Linked DNA regions of Danio rerio. The protein of the gene in region 2 interacts with the protein of the main gene of each other region in a pairwise test. Links are inferred from orthologs where the notes say so. Each region holds a gene or a part of one and is shown on either strand. Other genes may lie near its edges.

What was found. The genes of interacting proteins can lie anywhere in the genome.
Region 1: the proteins of xpo7 (region 2) and uso1 interact in binary tests that used the Homo sapiens proteins (3 or more experiments, as listed by UniProt). The two-hybrid records come from large-scale screens. The link is inferred for Danio rerio from reciprocal best matches to the Homo sapiens genes XPO7 and USO1.

The regions. Positions count from the first base shown.
Region 1 is NC_133176.1:28,109,165-28,117,234, reverse strand, and holds the start of uso1 (general vesicular transport factor p115), read right to left. Parts: upstream 3,002-8,070; 5' UTR 2,841-3,001; coding exon 2,775-2,840; intron 2,192-2,774; coding exon 2,105-2,191; intron 1-2,104. Other genes in the region: g3bp2a (ras GTPase-activating protein-binding protein 2), read right to left, coding at 6,688-6,969. UniProt on the Homo sapiens protein: General vesicular transport factor required for intercisternal transport in the Golgi stack; it is required for transcytotic fusion and/or subsequent binding of the vesicles to the target membrane.
Region 2 is NC_133185.1:24,928,413-24,939,270, reverse strand, and holds the start of xpo7 (exportin-7), read right to left. Parts: upstream 6,166-10,858; 5' UTR 6,131-6,165; coding exon 6,113-6,130; intron 1,392-6,112; coding exon 1,245-1,391; intron 1,086-1,244; coding exon 992-1,085; intron 914-991; coding exon 747-913; intron 1-746.

The sequences.
Region 1 (8,070 bases), on a different chromosome or scaffold from region 2:
GAAAAAAACAACAAAGGGGGGCTAAAAATTCTGACTTTCACTGTATATATATTTACAGTAATTTTTTTTACGTTTTTAAGAAAACTTATTCAGTTCATTAAGGCTACATTTATTAAATGTAAAAAATGTTAAATTGTTAAATATTTTTCAAAACTTTAAATAACTGCTTCATTATTGTATGTAGTTTCAAATAAAATTATTACTCCAGACATTATTGCTTTTATTACTATAATAAGTATAATAATAATTAATATTAGTGATTTCTGAAGGATCAGGTGACTGGAGTAATGAAGCTGAAATTTCATCTTTAAAATCACTGGAATAAATGAATAAATTAAATGATAAACTACTTTTGAACAGTTATTTTATAGTGCAACATTTCATAATTTGTATTTATGATGAAATAATTGCAGCCTTGGTGAGCAGAAGAAGCTTAGTTTAACATATTTAATCATAATCATACAAACGTCTATGTGTCAAAGCACCATAAGATTGTATTTGCACACAATTGACAGACAGTCGCAGCACGCAGCTCTGGCTCGATCTGTCAGGCATCAAGGCACCACTGTACACTGGCCCGAGCGTCACTCACGCTGGCTCCGGGCTATCGGGCAGTCCTTATTGTCGAGCCCTGAAGGTTTAAGCTCTGTAGATGGGTCACCTGCGTCTGCACAGTTCAATGAGCACTTTAACAAGCGTGTTTTTTTCCGCTTGGCAAGCCAAGCTGACGTGACATGGGGGCGTGGCAGCATCGACGATTCTATTTTTTGATTCGATAATCAAAATCGAGCATAAATTGATCGATTTCGATTAAAAATCGAAATCGTGACACCCTTAATAAATATATATATATATATATACACATATACATATACATATATATATATATATATGCATATATATATATACATATATATATATATATATATATATGCATATATATATATATATATATATATATATATATATATATATATATATATATATATATATATATATATACATACACACACACACACACAATTGAAGTCAGAATTCTTAGCCCTCCTGAATTATTAGCCCCTGTTTATACTTTTTCCTCAATTTCTTTTTAATGGAAAGATTTTTTTCAACACATTTCTGAACTTAATCATTAATAACTGATTTCTTTAATCTTTGCCATGATGACATTAAATAATATTTTACTAGATATTTTTAAAGACAACCTTTTAAATTGAAATTTAAAGGCTTAACTAGGTTAATTAGGTTAACTAAGCAGGTTAGGGTAATTAGGCAAGTCATTGTATAATGAGGGTTTGTTATGTAGACTATCGAAAAAAATTGCTTAAAGGGGTTAGTAATTTAAACCTTAAAACTTTTTAACAAAAATTAAGACTGCTTTTATTCCAGCTGAAAAAAATAAATAAGACTTTCTCCAGAAGAAAAAAATTGTATCAGACATAATGTGAAAATTTCCTGACTCTGTTAAACATTCAGGAAATATTTAATAACGGAAAAAAAATTCAAAGGGGGCTAAAAACTCTGACTTCAACAGTATAAGGGCTGCACGATTAAAAAATTCTGTCTTGCACATTCCATTATATTGCACAAAAACATTTTTTCACAATGTCATAGCTCAGACCTCATAGCAGATTGCAATTTTAGTTGCATAGTAACATTGTGTTTAGTCAGGGATGTTCTTTAAGTGGAATGATGACATTAAATTAACTTGTTAAGAATTTCAACAAAGCAGCATTTAAAAGCTACAATACAATCACAATATGGCATGGAAAAAGAGGTTGTTGTGCATTAATGCAAACAACAGTATTTATATTCCTCAACTGAACTATGCTGCAATTTTAGCAAGCATAGTTGCTATAAAAAGTAGTGTATGATTTTAATTCATAACAGATTTTGAACTTCTAATTATCTATACTGAACAGTACTAGTTCTAGGCACTGTGCTTTTGTAAAGATTCTTTGAATGAAACAGATCAAAAGCATTTGACAGACATTCTACTTACACTATTGCTCAGTTTAATGGAGTGTTATTGTGTATAATGCTGTGTATAATTAAAACACCTCAATGACAAGCATCAACATGACAAGCATTAACTTCTGGTCACCTTGGACAGGGATTTGAGGGCACGAACAGCATCTCTTCGATCCTCCAACAGGGTTGATGAAGCCACACGATCACACAGCTTCTGAATCTGAAGATTAAATCAACAGAAAGACACAAAAGAATGGTTCGTAATTGCCTCATCATAGTGTGGCAAACCTTACTTTATTTCAAGTATCCAATAAGTTCACATAGAATGTATGTATGTATATATGTATGCATGTATGTGTGTGTGTGTGTGTATATACATATACACACACACACACACACACACACATAGAATGTATGTATGTATATATGTATGCATGTATGTGTGTGTGTATATATATATATATATATATATATATATATATATATATATATATGTGTGTGTGTGTGTGTGTGTGTGTGTGTGTGTGTGTGTGTATGTTAGTATGTATGTATGTGTGTGTGTACACACACACACACACACACATACACACACACACACACACACACACACGATGGAGAACATTAAAACCATCAAATTACTAAAAACGACTGTCATATATGCCATTTAAACTAGCTTTACATCAGGGTTGTTTGTCATTTGATTAACAATCAGTTAGTCTCAGTAATCTGCAAGCTGAGTTAATTTTTTATTGGTTTACACGCATAACGTCAGATGTATGTGTTTATGCAGTAAATTAGCTCACTGTTTCTGCTCCAGTCGGCTGCGGGCCTGCTGGTTTGCTTCCCATTACTCCCCTTAGGAAATCCATCGTTCTGTGTCCGCTTTACTAATATTTTCAATGTTGATCACAAGGCAGACTAAACCTCAGGTGAAATAAACTGATTTTCCAGGAGAGATAGACAGCAAATGTCATTTAACAGCAGCTGCCTGATGTTGATCTCACAACACACCAGCACCCAGCCCGGAACTGACAAGGACACGCATGCGCATAAACGTGGCGATACGTGGCTGACCACAGTGTCAGTGACGATGTCTTAAAGAGACAGATGACACAAAAACACGATGTAAATGAGTAACTTCTAGTAATAGAAAAACGCCTTTTCGTGTGCAGTAGTGTTTCAAACAAGCAAGCAAACAAACGAATAATAAATAAACAAAACCACACATTTTGAAAATTTGGTAATAACTTCAGTGATAGAATAGAACAATAAACAGGAATTTTGCACAGGATTGAAATTCTTTATAAAATGTTATTAATAGTTAGACTGCGATCCATAAAGGCAGCATTTCAATTTGCTGCTTTTGTCATATCTTTTTTGTCAAAAAACATATTTCATATTTTAAAAAATGAATCTGCTAGCAAAGTGTGATTAAATTTTACTGTTGACCTTCTGAAAAAATGTCTAATTAATTTTTAAAGTATTTTATAACTACATTGTTGTGTTGCTAAATCTATCCGAAAAATATATTCTGTATTTTCAAGAAACGGGTTAAAAAATGAGCTTTTCTTCAAACATTTTAGCATGTTTTCAGTTATTAGTTTAAAACAATCACAATTTAGTCAGATTAAATCACAAACTGTTTTCCAATACAATAGGTGTTTTATCTATCTAGCAAACAATGCATAGGTAATAACAAAGGCCAGACAGAATCTGTAGACATTGTTTGCTATTTCTGCTGAAAATATAGTAAAAAAAATCTGTGGATTTATGCAAAATGATTTGAAGAGCGTCATAACTAAAAACGTAAAATATATAGTAGAAAATAAATTTTAAACGTTTTATTAAACACTTACAATTCAAATCCATCTAGTTCCCCTCATTTGGTTAACAAACCAACTCTTATATAAAATGTTTAAAAAAAAAAGAAAATATTACTTTACAAACTGTATTGTAAATAAATCATATGAACATTTTTATATTACTATTAATATTATATCACAGTAATATTAGAGGGGCATATATATATATATATATATATATATATATATATATATATATATATATATATATATATATATATATATATATGTGTGTATATATATGTATATATATGTATGTATGTATGTATGTTAACAATACAGGTTCAATCCTATGGCAAAATATTCACTGTATTAGAGGCAAAATGTGCTACACAACACTTAACCTTCATCCTACATTTGATGGTGGACTGGACAGTTTAATAAAAAGAGAGCAATTAAACTTCAAAAAATGTTGTAAGGGTCATAACTCGGGTAGCGTGAGTGTATTTGTGACATAACTAGCACATCTTTAATTCAGCCACATGACCAACATGATTTGAGATATATATATATATATATATATATATATATATATATATATATATATATATATATATATATATATATATATAATAAAAATATTGGATTTCAGAAAAAAAGCATGATCTCCTAAAATCAGTTTGTGAATTTTAAAAATATAAATTGTGTTAAAAACAGCAACAATGTGAATAAAAACTTCCAAAACAACAGCAAAAAGCAACAGTAATAAGCTCATCATGAGCCTGCACAGTACAGTAAGGTGGTAAATTAAAGCCATGACACTTGTAATGAACAGCACAGATTTCTGTTTATTGTATGTGAAGTCTAACACATTGAAACTGAATGAAAACGAAAGAAAAATTACAAAACGTAATAAATAAACACCCAGCTGCAACGTATTCTACTCACACAAATATGCAGTCCAAGTAAAATAATATGTTAACCATCTGCTAATACAAGTCCATGTTCTTGTTCCACCAAAATAAAACCACATCAACGAACAGAGCCGCTATAATAACTTTTAGAGAAACTGCACGGAAACCAATCAAAACAGTTTGCATTAGGATCAGAGGGTTAAAAGAATCTGATTATGAACTAAACAAAATAAATCAGAAGTCTGATGCATATTTTGGGATGAAAAGCACAGTTATTTGACCAAGCCCTATTGTGTAAGGTCTTCTTTTTTTTCTCCCCTGTGAATCAAACGCTCAACGTATTTGGCTGATTGAAGTGCTTTAAGTCTAAACAGAAAGGCCATTGTGGCATTTATATACACAGTAATTAAAACGTACCAGTTCCCAAACTGAAAACATGTACGAACTAGGTAGAATGGATGGGGAAAGAAGTCTCTAGGCAGGAATTACTGATATACTTTCTTCCAAAATCTTCCAAATAGTAAAAGTATCTGTAACCAAAATGTCTTAGTGTGGAGAACAAGTTGTCCCCAAAACTACTGAACAAATCAAAAATGCAATGTCCCTGATGAGGATTGTCCTAGAAATACTGCAAATAGTGCAATCTACCTGACACGGAAGACATTAAACATCAAAAATAGCGCTACATCAAACTGTACTTACAAAATCAGTGCAAATTTAGACTTTTGAGTAACACTGCAAAAAGAAAACAGTGTCTACTCTACTGTACCTATGGTTCCTCCAATTCATGAAGAACGGCATTTACGGGTTCTTCATTATGACCAGACAAAGATGGACATTTGGTGTAGATATTAAAATAAAAACTCTACTTGAAAACACAAATGTATAAAACGTTCATTAATGAAGCCTTTTCCATCTCATGTGTTTCAAACTACGTTTCTAATCAGTTCTGTTTTTAAAATGCTATTGATAACAATAACTTCAGTTTGAATGCAAAACTAGTCTATTTGGGACAATCAGAAATACACCAGCAAGGTTTCTCTGTACCCTGTATGAATACTGTCATGAAAAAAACAACAATGGCTTGGATGTAATCTAAAATGCACATCACAAAAAGAGATTTAGGCTATGAAAACTGATATAAAAAAAGAGATTGAAAATTTAAACTTCATAAAGTGACTTTGCCTTAAGAAAAAAAAAAAAAAAAAAAAAACATTCAAATCTGGAACGCATTTGCACAAAAATCATGGTACCTTTACAAACGCACCTATTACTGCTCCATTTACTTTTTTCAGGCAGACACGAACATAAATGCTGCCAAACCTGTACAATAAAAAGAAAGATTTATATAGAAACAGAATTGGAGAGGACAGTGTATTTTCTCCTCCCTTACGTTTTTTTTTTTTTCAGATTACAAACTTAAATCATTTCTTTTCTTTCTTTACAGTTTTATAAAGCTGAAATCGTGTTAGCTCACAGTTACAACTTCATGTAGCATTTAGCTTATTAATGAGCTATTCAGTGTAATTATTTAAAATAATATGGATTAAAGGCTAGCCTGAAAAATAAAACAAAATCAATACGATGAAAAGAAAAGGCCATCTCTCCATCTGCACAGTTTGCAGAAACTAGAAGGTTATCTAATACAAAATGCCACAGAGCAGAGGTTAAACTTCATACGGCACTAAAAACACCCAACTTCTTTCCCCACAAAGTTTGCAATTGTTTCCATTTGATAATCAACAAACCAGAGGATTTGCAGCACGATTCCAATTTAAAGTGAATAGTGTGTTATGAGTCATTAGGTTGTTCAAGTCGTTGAACTGCTTCAACGGAAACAGTAGACATTCCAAAGGCAAAAATGCAAGTGTAAAACAAAGCGTAAGGAAGATTATATAAAATAAAAAAACCTGAAGTATGTATATGTTTTTTTACATAGACTTCTCAATATCAGAATAAATGAAGACCGTACTACTTCCAAACTACAGGGAGAGCTCCTCTCAACGCCTCTGAGCATTAAAACGGCCCTCATTGGAACCCGAGCCCCTTCCGGAAGCCAAGCCTGGCTTGGGTACAGTGGCAACACGTGAAGGCGGGCCTCTGCCGTCTCGCTCTCGCATCATGTTTCCTCCAGCGATGCCCCGCGGCCCACCCGGCCCCCGATCACTGCGCCTGACGTCTCGACGATCGTCTCCTACTCCACTTCTGGTTTCCCGCTCACGCATCGCTCTCGTCTTTTTCTCCTCAACATTCAGACGAACTTCTCCACGGAACATGATTGGCTAAAGACAAATGACAGAAACAAGCACAAACATATTTACACATGAAGAAACTTACAAGCAGGGATGCATCGATTGTGGATATAACAAAGGAGGGCCGGTGCCCTGCACAGTTTAGCTCCAACACTAATCAAGCACACCTGAACAAGCTAATCAGTGTCTTAAGGATCACTAGAAATCTATAAGCAGGTGTGTTTGATTAGAGTTAGAGCTAAGCTGTGCAGGACACCAGCCCTCAAGGCCCGAGTTTGCCCACCCCTGGCCTAGGGCCTCAATACATTACAGATATGCTGACTGAATACAAACCTAACTCAGATCTTTAGGATCAAATAAACTAGAAATTCCAAGAGTTCAGTCAAAGCAGGTTGAATCCGTCTTCAGCTACTGTGCACCCCGATGCTGGAATCAGCTTCCAGAAATGATCAGATATGCTCCAACAGTAGGCACATTCAAATCAAGACTGAAAACAGATCTGTTTAGCTGTGCCTTTACTGAATCAGCACTGTGCTACATCCGACAGATCGCACTATTACGTCTTTCTTTTTTTTTCTCCATTCTTTTATAACCTAGTTTCAACACATTTGAATCGGTTAATCATTTTTATTATTTGTTTTTTTATTTTGTTATACGTGTCTCTTTTATTCATGCTTATGTAAAGCACTTTAAATTGCCACTGTGTATGTAATGTGCTATATAAATAAACTTGCCTTGCCTATAGAAACCCCCATACTAAAATTTTATTCAGTGTAACAATATTCATTTACCCAAAAATATTGTCAGCCAATTTTTAAAACAATATCTGTTTGATGAGATAGCAAGTTTCTATTAGCCAAATAATAATAATAATAATAATAATAAGAGTAATAATAATTTGATTAACCCTTATGTACAAAGGCAACGTTGTTTCTAATCTTTCACGTTCAATACTGTGATTAAAGAAAAAAAATAAAATAAAAATCCAGTCCGCAACTACTTTTTATATTAAAAATATGTCTTTTTGTGTGTGTGTGTTTTTATGAATTTGCCAATTGAAGGATTTAAATAATGTAATTTTAAAACCATTTAGTAGTTTTGACCAGGACTGAGCAAAGGACTTTGCAACAT
Region 2 (10,858 bases):
TTTTCAATGTTCTTCACAATATGTTCTTTAGAGTTCAACAGAAAAAAAGAAAATCAAACTGGGCAATGAAGTGTGAGTAAATGGTGACAGAATTGTCATTTTTGGGTGCACTATACCTTTAATACACCATAAGCAACAATGCTTATATTCACAACAAAAGTAGTTCAATTTTATTATGCAAACAAGATGATTTCAATAAACATTTACAAAAGTTTACTAGGGATGCACTGATAAGATATTATGGCCGATACCAGTTTTAACAATTTTAATTGCATACAGTACTATAAACAGGGTTCATATTCATACACATTTTTCCACTAAACTTACTGGTAAATACACTAAGATTTAAGGTAAATATTCATGACCTAATGTTTCATGTAATTTCTACGATTGCATTGTAAGTAAAAAAAAATGCACATTTAAATTTGTTACAGCATATTATAAAATATGCTATATGTAGTTTACTTTAATGTTCATTTTTTATATCCATGTAGTTTATTTGGATAATGCTTACCCAAATCAGTTAAATTAGTGTGAGTGCATGTGATTAATTGTGATTCAACTGCAATTCATTTAAGTGACAAATAAAACATGACAAATTGTTTTAGTCTGGATGACAAACACTTCACATCTAACAAGAATGAACACTCGAAAAGAAACCAAATTGCATTTGAATTGTCATCCATTGTATAATTCTGAAATGAAGAATATTATCTTCACCAAAAGACTTTCATAATCAATCATACCTGCAGAAATCTTGTCACATCAACTATGACATTCCTGAAGACGTAATCTTCCTTTTGGCAGTCGAACCAGCCGAGTTTGGTGATTCTGGCATAGAGCTGGATCAGGGCTTGTGTCACGAAGGCAGCAAGCTTTGGCCGGGTTGCCAGATAATTGAGAACATAATTTCCTGAGGAATCAATTCAACAATTTTAAAAATTGGGTTTTAATTCTAAAGTTGAATTTGTGGCAGATTCTATAAACTTACGAATGTCAATGCGCTGCTCCAGAGGAAGGGGGTTACTTGTTCGTGACACCAACTTGGAGAGACACGTCGCAGCCAACAACTGTGAGTACGAGGACTGGAAAAACAAACAAACAAACAAAAACACAGTTCGCAATTCAGAAAAGACTTACTCAACTCAAAATAATGAGGGAAGAATGGAGTTTTTGAAAAAATAGTTGAGGTTAGATCATTTGAGAGATTGTGTTCTACAGTTTTCAGAAAGTTAAAGTCTTACACTTCCTCTTTCCAGCAACAACTGGCATTTACTCAGGCAGTCAGGACTGTTGGTGAACTCCACCAGTGCTTTCTCGGCCTGAAGACGTGTGGTGGTGTCTGTGGTCTCATACAGCTGCTTGCACAGGATCTCTAGCTGGGCTAGGCTCTGAAAGAACAAAAACAATAAAAAGTCATTGCTATTTAAATGTCTTTGTTGCCATCACATTATTTTTTATATTAGAAATACAAATATGTTTTGACTTCATTAAAACAACATTCAAAAGATGTATTTTGGTAGATAATTTCTTAACCATCTGTAATCAAATTTCACATTTTGGTTTACTTTTGACCCAAAATTATCATTATTCATATAAATATGATTGATATATTTTTATTTTTTAAAACCATATGCACTTCTCATAAATGAGGGAATGGGTCAAAAAAAAAAAAAACTTACCATGTTAGTACTGCATTTACAACTTGTGATTAAGTTGAAATTTGAGAACACTTATGAAACTGTAACAGTACACTACCTCAACAAACCTGGACATAACAGCTACGTCAAAGCTAAGGTTGTACCCTAAGCCAAATAATATTACTTCAGCAAAGCTTCTGTATCTTCTTGTACAATCACAACATTAAACATCACGTTTATGACAAACCAGACACTTATGTTCCATTAGGCAAATTAATGTGCAGCGCTCACATCCACAATTTATTGTACTAGGTCACTGAGGGAGTATCTGGTTCATGCATGCATGAAAGACTATATGGTGATTGGCAAAAAAGTCAGTGATACACTAATACATAGAGGCGCAATGAAAGAGCTCACTCGTGTTATGCAGCAACAAGCCTCTAAACAGTTCTTTGTTCCCTTGTGGAGCATAACTATACAAAATCAGCCTCAGCAGAAAAACAGCAGCCGCAACAAATGCACAGCCTCAATGAAAAACTCCACGTTTATTATGCAAAACAAATTCTGAACTTATGAACTCAGTTGCCTATACTAGTGTTATCTGGAAATGGTGCCCGAGAGTTACACCCTGTTAAAGAAAAGTTTAATACTTGAACGTAATAAAAAATTTGTACATTTTGATCTGATAAACGAATCAAGAGACCCTAAAAGAACAGGGAGGACCCCTAAAAGAACAGAAAAAATGCATTTGGATCCCAATAGATAACATGTAAGCTGTATTTGCAGAAAACTGCACAGAACAGATAAGACAACCCTGAAACCCAAATGAAAACATCATTAATGGGTTATCCTAAATAAAAAGTTGATAACCACCTACAATTAACCTATAACACATTAATTAAAAATAGCATGCTTTGCTTAATGATAAGAACATACATAAATAAAGTTATTTCACAATTTACAATTAAACTTTGCAATCTTTTGGAACTACTAAACAAGACGGGAACTGAATGATAAAACCAAGAAATATTGCTGAGTCACCTCATTGGCCTCACAACATATTAGATAATTACATAAACACATATTTTGAAACATTAGTTGATAATCATAACATATATACACAAGTATGTTGGGATGCCAGGATGTGATCAGCAACACTCAAGGACCCTTTAAGATGCACTGCTGCTCCGATGGTAATTAATAATCTATTGCTGCAAATGGAATGGCTCCTTTACCACCTACAGAGTAACAGGACGCGTGACAACACTGGAAAGCTCATGTTTACTGGTGCCTGTGCAAATGAGAGTCAGGTTATCAACAGCTTCATCCACGACTTCATTAAATTTCATGGGAATAAGCAACACTGTGTTTAACCTCAAGACCTCTTTAACTTTTGACCTCAAATATGGCCCATCTTGTCGTTTGTCATGAACTGGTTGGTCACGAGATAACGGATGACAAGCAGCGTCTGTGTTTGAACACTAGAAAGCTAGAGCGTTTAATGTACCAGTGACACATTAAAACGATGTCTAGAAACCACTTTTTATGACAGTGACAATTAAATAGTAGAAGAAAAAATAATGATTTTAATTATTAGCAGACTTTTACACACAAGTCATTTACACTTAAGACTCATTTTGAGAATCACTAAAGGAATATTTCTCACCAACCGAATAAAAAAAAGATACATAGAACTACCCCAAGTCTACTCAAAACATATATGACCTTTTTCAAATTAAAAGTGACTTGCGTACATTAAGATCTTTAGCTGAAACGGTGGTCTCCTGGTGATATACTGAGGTTTTGCGAGTGAAACTGAACATCATTTACTACATTATTAACATTTAATCTACAGTCTGGAGTGGAGTGTGAGCTTCCTCTCACAATGATGTATGTGTGCATATTCACACAAGAGCAGAGATGCTGTTTGTTTACATCAGAGTGTGAGGACGCATGATAGACCCTTTATACATTTCTGGGTTTCTCAGTAGCGGAAGTCGTCATGGTTGGGAAAACTTGGGAGCAAAGTTAATGGAAGAGGACAACAATTTTTTTTTTTTTACAATCTTATTTGCTTAAATAATATAAGAAAACTCCGCGATGATGTTATAAAAACTTTCAGAAAAAAGGAAAAAATAGTGCAAGACTGATGAAGGCAGCCAGAGTAATGTCAATAATGTGAATAATGTCAAATTACTCACAGCCCCATAGACTCTGCATACGAACACCTCGCACAAGCTGTAATTTGCTTTTTGTAATTTAAAGCAGGTGACGCAGTAGGTAGTGCTGTCACTTCACAGCAAGAAGGTCGCTGGTTCGAACCTCGGCTCGGCTCAGTTAGCGTTTCTGTGTGGAGTTTGCATGTTCTCCCTGCGTTCGCATGGGTTTCCTCCGGGTGCTCCGGTGTCCCCCACAGTCCAAAGACATGCGGTACAGGTGAATTGGGTAGGCTAAATTGTCTGTAGTATATGAGTGTGTGTATGAATAAGTGTGTGGATGTTTCCCAGAGATGGGTTGCGGCTGGAAGGGCATCCACTGCGTAAAAAACGTGCTGGATAAGTTGGCGGTTCATTCCGCTGTGGCGACCCAAGATTAATAAAGGGACTAAGACGACAAGAAAATAAATGAATGAATTTAATGCAAAGATGATATAACGCATACGTAAACACACATAAATGTTCATGCGTTTTTTTGTTGTTGTTTTTAAATCTAAATATTAAAAAGTTTCAAGGATTTTAGATGCTGATGACCGTTAAACACGACATAACAGGCTTGTGAAGAGTCCATCGAGGTAAAATTGATTTTATATTCACACATTAGCTCAGTGACAACTTGTGACATGCTCCCTATATTGTTTACCATGAATATTTGGTCAGAAATCGCATGCAAGCATGACTTCAAAACAACATTACAACTATTTATTTGACTGTGACATATGTTGTACTTCGATGGTCATTGATTGCTTATATCACTATTTAGAACTTGCAAAGAATACCTTTCTTAAATGATCATTATAGAGAAAGTCTTACTGTCTGAATGTAAAACCAATTTTACCTTAATGGACGCCTGTTACATTGCTCATCAAAATGATACTTAAATCCTATCCTTTACACTGACAACTATAATTGAGGGAGAAAAAAAACATGTTTGTATGATTAAGTTTAGATGTACAATATTTATTGGGAAGACTGTACATGCTTAGACTTATTTGCTGAAGCTGTGGATTTAAAATAACGTAAATAATGTTCAGTTTCTAGCACAGGTATTGGAGTCACCGGTATTTATTTTATTGGGCCTGTATGTTTTAGTTTTTGGCTCTCAGTGTTAACCATTAACAACTCACAAAAGGTCACTGTTTCTCATTAGAAAACTGCTATTTTCGAGTATCCTGTCCCTTAAATATTCTTTTTTTTCAGAGTACACTTTCCCTTAAACATTTTCATTATCAGAAAAGTAAATTAAATTTAAAACTGTATCCCTTAAACATTTTCATTATCAGAAAAGTAAATTAAATTTAAAACTATGATGAATATTGTTTCATTGCAAATGAATTTTGATTAACAAGCAAAACAATATGGATAATTTAGTGGAAAAGCTCTCAAAAAGTTTATTTCAGGTTCGCTAACTAAAGTGCATCCAGTTAACGTTATGTCAGTTATTCAGCGGAGTCAATTCAACTACCCTCAACCTCTACAAATTAATAAATGTGTTACAAATAATACATCTATTTTAATGATTTTCATAAGAATTACCGACATACATCTAGCGGGGAATAGTAACAAATATTTCGTTCTTATAATTTTCAATAGAAACTCATTTCTGCTCGGGCTTTTGGTTTGACGAGACGGCGCGCGGGAGAATCTCATGAGTTAGCATGAGAGCTACAGGCTAACAGCGCGAGAGCTCAGCAAACCGGACACATTTGCGCTCAGCAATAACAGAATGACAGATAACCACAGTACAATGCGCTTTTAGGCTTAACAGCAGTCTTTTCACTCGGAAAAAAGACTCGCTTATTTCGAGTCACTATCGCATTGTGGATATAAGGCCAGTGTGTAGTTATTGCACAGCAAGGGTTTGGATGAAGATGATGCCTTGTTTACAATGTAAAACATGACTGTCGCTATAGAGTTACGTGCAGGGGGGGAAATAAACAATCTCTCTGTATCTGCCAATTCCTGCTGCTTAAACCGATAGTCTTCGCATCTTGCTTCAAAACAACTTTCACTTATGCGACAGAGTTGTGTGTTAGCTTGGACCACAGAGTTAAAATCAACATGATGACAGGCCACAAGTCAACACTTGATAATCGCATCCAATAAAGCATGCTAGTCAAGCTCTCTCGTTTGGCGAAGCATGCATTTAAAACAAACACGCACGCATCGCCGAAATAAGTCTCGACATTTACCATTAGACTGCAGTGAATCAAAATTCATTAATTTCATAATAGCAAAACAAAATAATTTACTTACCTGCACATGATCCGCCATTTTGCTCCATTCATGCTCCTCTCACTCCCCCTGACAATGAGCATGCGCGCATCTGCACACAATCACTGGAACATTTACGCAATTGACGTACGCACTGATCAAGCCAGATGTTCGCTCGAGGCTTCGTGAATACCGTTACGATGGACGTCCACCGCCGAAATAACGCCGAAAAGAGCCTTTGTTTACATGCTTCTTAAAGTGAAACTGCGAATTCAAATATTAGCTGTCACGTGGATTTATAATTTCAAGCGTGATTAAACTTTGCAAGTTGAGAATCAAGGCTATTAACTGATGAAAATGTTTTGTGAGTGTTCACGCGGTGAATGTTTGCACCTGTTGTAAAAGTAAAAAAACGTGCTGACTAATTTTACACAAAACAATGTGCATCACTTGTTTGATGTCAAAAAAATGTGTACAGTGACCCTGAATGTAAAAATGTTATGTTCACTGTTTCAAAATTCTGCATTTAATGGAATTAGTTCATCCTTAAATGAATATTATCATAATTCACCAATTCACCTTGACCTTCTTTGCTTTCAGGAACTTTGATGTGGAGACTGAAGTATGCAAAGGAGCACTGTCTTGCTGAAGAATTTGCCCTCCCCTGTGGTCTTTAATGTTATGGGCTGCACAAATGTCTTAATACCTCAGGCTGTTAATGTTGCCATCCACTCTGCAGATCTCTCGCATACCCACATACCGAATGTAACCCCAAAACCATGCTTTTTCCTTCAACAAACTTGACTGATTTCTGTGAGGGTCCATGCGGGTTCCAATAGGTGTTCTGCAGTATTTGTGATGATTGGGATGCAGTTCAACAGATGATTCATCTGAAAATCTACCTTCTGCCACTTTTCCAAATGATCAACTAAAAGTCAAGTTATTATTTGTTGCTCTTGCAACTGGGATCGACTACAACACTTTTGTCAAGTAGTGTATGTTTGTATGCTTTATTTTATAGTCAGACAATAAGGGTGTCCCGGTGGTGCAGTGGATAGCACAATCACATCACAGCAAAAAGGTCTCTGGTTCGAGCCCTGGTTGCTTTGGTCGGCATTTCTGTGTGGAGTTTGCATGTTCTCCTCCCAGTGTTCGCCTGGGTTTCCTTTGGATGGTCTGGTTTCCCCCACAGTCTATAGACATGCAGGAATACAGTATAGGTGAATTAAATAAACTAAATTGGCCGAAGTGTATGTTTGGGGGGCGACATGGTGGCGTTATGCTGTCGCCTCACAGCAAGATTGTCGCTGGTTTGAGCCTCGGCTGAGTCAGTTGGCATTTCTGTGTGGAGTTTGCATGTTCTCCCTGTGTTCATATGGGTTTCCTCTAGGTGCTCCCGTTTCCCCCACAAGTCCAAAACAAGCGGTACAAGTGAATTTATAGGCTAAAATTGTACATAGTGTATGTTTGTGAATTAGAGTGTATGGGTGTTTCCCAGGGATGGGTTGCATTTCCCAGGGATGGGTTGTTCATTCCGCTGTGGCGACCCCTGGGGAATAAAGGGACTAAACTGAAGAAAAATGAATGAATGTACAGGATTCTAGTTATTGCTTGCATTTTTGCTAATTGGTTGGTAGCGCATTGCTAAGTATAGTTGTTGGTGGCTGTTAATTGCAAGTATTTTACCTTTTAATGATCAAGTAAAATGGAAATCAGCTTCTTGAATTATGACATGCAGTTAATTGAGCACTATAAAGGTTTGAAGATGACTCAACTGGCAGGTTTCAGGCTCTCAACCAAACCACAAGATTTTACGACAGAAAATTTCAGTCAGCTGTAGCTTTGCCAGCCAACAGCTCATTCAGAGTGTTCAGTGGAGTGAAAGAGAGCGTGGAGACACCACAGGATTAGATGCTTTTTTCATCCAGAGTTTGTTTGCTGCTATTATTGTATTGGTTTTATCACACTGTGACTCAGAATTGCTTTCTGTTTTTCTACTTGGTAATTGACATCTCCATATATTTTTAACAAAACTGATTTCGGGTCCTTGATTCTGATTATTTGAGCAGTGTTTGAAGACGTTGTGAATTATTTTATAAACAAACACCTGTGGCATTTTACGTCTGTGTTTCTGTCATTTGATGTATTTATTATTTCAGTAGGATTAACTGTTTAAAATTCCCTATTAATGGCCAGGAACTATAAAAATACGCTACAAAAAATTAAAATAACACTGGTAATGATATTATACTGTTAAACTGCACAATAAAAATTCATTCATTAATTTTTCTTCAGCTTAGTCCATTTTTTTATCAGGGGTTGCTACAATGGAATAAAGTGCCAACTATTCCAGCACGTTTTACAGCAGATGCCCTTCCAGCTGCAACCCAGTACTGGGAAATACCCATACACTCTCACATTCACACACGCACTCATAGACTATAGGGCCATTTTTTAGTTCATCTAATTCACCTATAGCGCATGTCTTTTGTGGGGGACACTGGAGCAACCGGAGGAAACCCATGTAAACACAGGTAGAACGTGCAAGTTCTTTTCAGAAACACCAATTGGCCCAGCTGGGACTCAAACCAGCGACCTTCTTGCTGTGATGCGACAGTGCTAACCACAGTTAAAATTATTTAAAAATATATTTCCAGAAGCCAAATTAAAACATACAAAAAGTTAAATATAACAATGAAAATTAAATTTAAATGTTATCTTGGCAACTAATTGAAATAAACAAGTCTTAAACCTACACAACTAAAATGAAGATTTATTTAAAAAAATTAAACAAATACTAATAAAATGCTAAATAAAGTACATCTGAATTGATTAAAGTAACATTTTTATATAGAGAACATTCAACATTTTAACAAATTACCAAACAAACAAAACAAACTTTGTAAAATTTCAAAAGAGTATTTTCTTACAAAACATATTCCAGTGATGAAACTACTGAAATGCCAAAAGACAGTGGGAAGTCACAAGGCCAAAGACTGCCTTTGCACAGAGTGGAGGTTTCAGCTGCAGTCTTTGACCCTTTTGCATGAATTCTATATTCAGTTTTGATGCAAAATAACTGCACATGTATTTATACATAATTTATGAAATACAAATTCTTTTTATTTTGAGATCATATAATCCAACAATGAAGTAGTTACAATACAAAAATGTGAAAAGAAAAATATTACAAGACAGACTTGAGAAATAGCCCCAAAGTAATGTTGTCTTGTAAGAATTTACAAGACTGAGCTATTTTCTTTAATTGCTAACAAGAACCTTAAACATAACAAATGATAGTGTTTTCAAGTAAATTGCATTTATTACAGTATCAACAGATTCATTTTTAGATTTATAGACTGTTTTTGTATATGGTACTTCCCCTTACATCATTATTAAATTAATCACCAAATTCTGCTCTAAAATATTATTATACAGATTTTATGAAGAGATTTGATAAATATTCATTTATACATTTTTTTACACACTCATTCACACACGTACACTATGGACATTCATTCATTCATTTTCTTTTAGGCTTAGTCGCTTCATTAATCTAAGGTCACCACAGCAGAATGAACCGCCAACTTATGCAGCATATGTTTTATGCAGCAGATGCCCTTCCAGCTGCAACCCATCACTGGAAAACACTCATACACTCTCATTCTCACACACATACACCATGGACAATTTTAACCTACCCAATTCACCTGTACCACATGTCTTTGGACTGTGAGGGACACCAGAGCACCCAGAGGAAACCCACGCAAACATGAGAAGAACATGTAAACTCCACACAGAAATGCCAACTGACCAAGCCGAGGCTTGAACCAACAACCTTCTTGCTGTCAGGTGATCGTGCTACCCACTGTGACACCGTGACGCCCATTTGATAAATATATTGACTATAAATCCCAAAAAATGGTGTCGCCTTACAGCAAGAAGGTCGCTGGGCTGCAGGTTTGAGCCTCGGCTTGGGAGTTTGCATTTTCTCCCTGCATTTGCGTGTGTGTGTTTGTGTGTGTGTGTGTGTGAATGTTTCCCAGAGATGGGTTGCGGCTGGAAGGGCATCCGCTGCGCAAAAATGTGCTGGATAAGTTGGCGGTTCATTCCGCTGTGACTGTCGATTAATAAAGGGGCTAAGCCGACAAGAAAATGAATGAATGAATCCCAAAAGTTTAAATACACATTATAAAAGAAGCATTCTCACTTAAAGTAAAACAAAATGCATGTAGTTTTCTCATATATTTATAAAATCTTTGGTGAGAGTATTTACTAAGGTAAATCCCATACTTTTTTTCTGATCATATTGTACATTTAGGCAATACTGTTGTTCTACATATTTATTTAATGTAAAGGTTATAAAATGTAAACTAGTATCTATAATTTTCACATCATCGATATATGCTGTGATTGAAACATAGAAATAAGCCCAGAAGAAGAAGATACAGTTGAAGTCAGAATTATTAGCCCCTCTGTTTATTTTTTCCCCCAATTTCTTTTTAAAGGAAAGAAGATTTTTCAAACACATTTCTAAGCATAATAGTTTTAATAGCTCATTTCTAATAACTGATTTGTTTGATCTTTGCCATGCTGACAACAAATAAGATTTCACTAGATATTTTTCAAGACATTTCTATAAAGCTTAAAGTGACATTTTTAGGCTTAACTAGGTTAATTAGATTCACTAGGCAGGTTAAGGTAATTAGGCAAGTTATTGTATAACAGTGCTTTATTCTGTAGACTATCGAAAAAAAAAATTGCTTAAAGGGGCAAATAATTTCGACC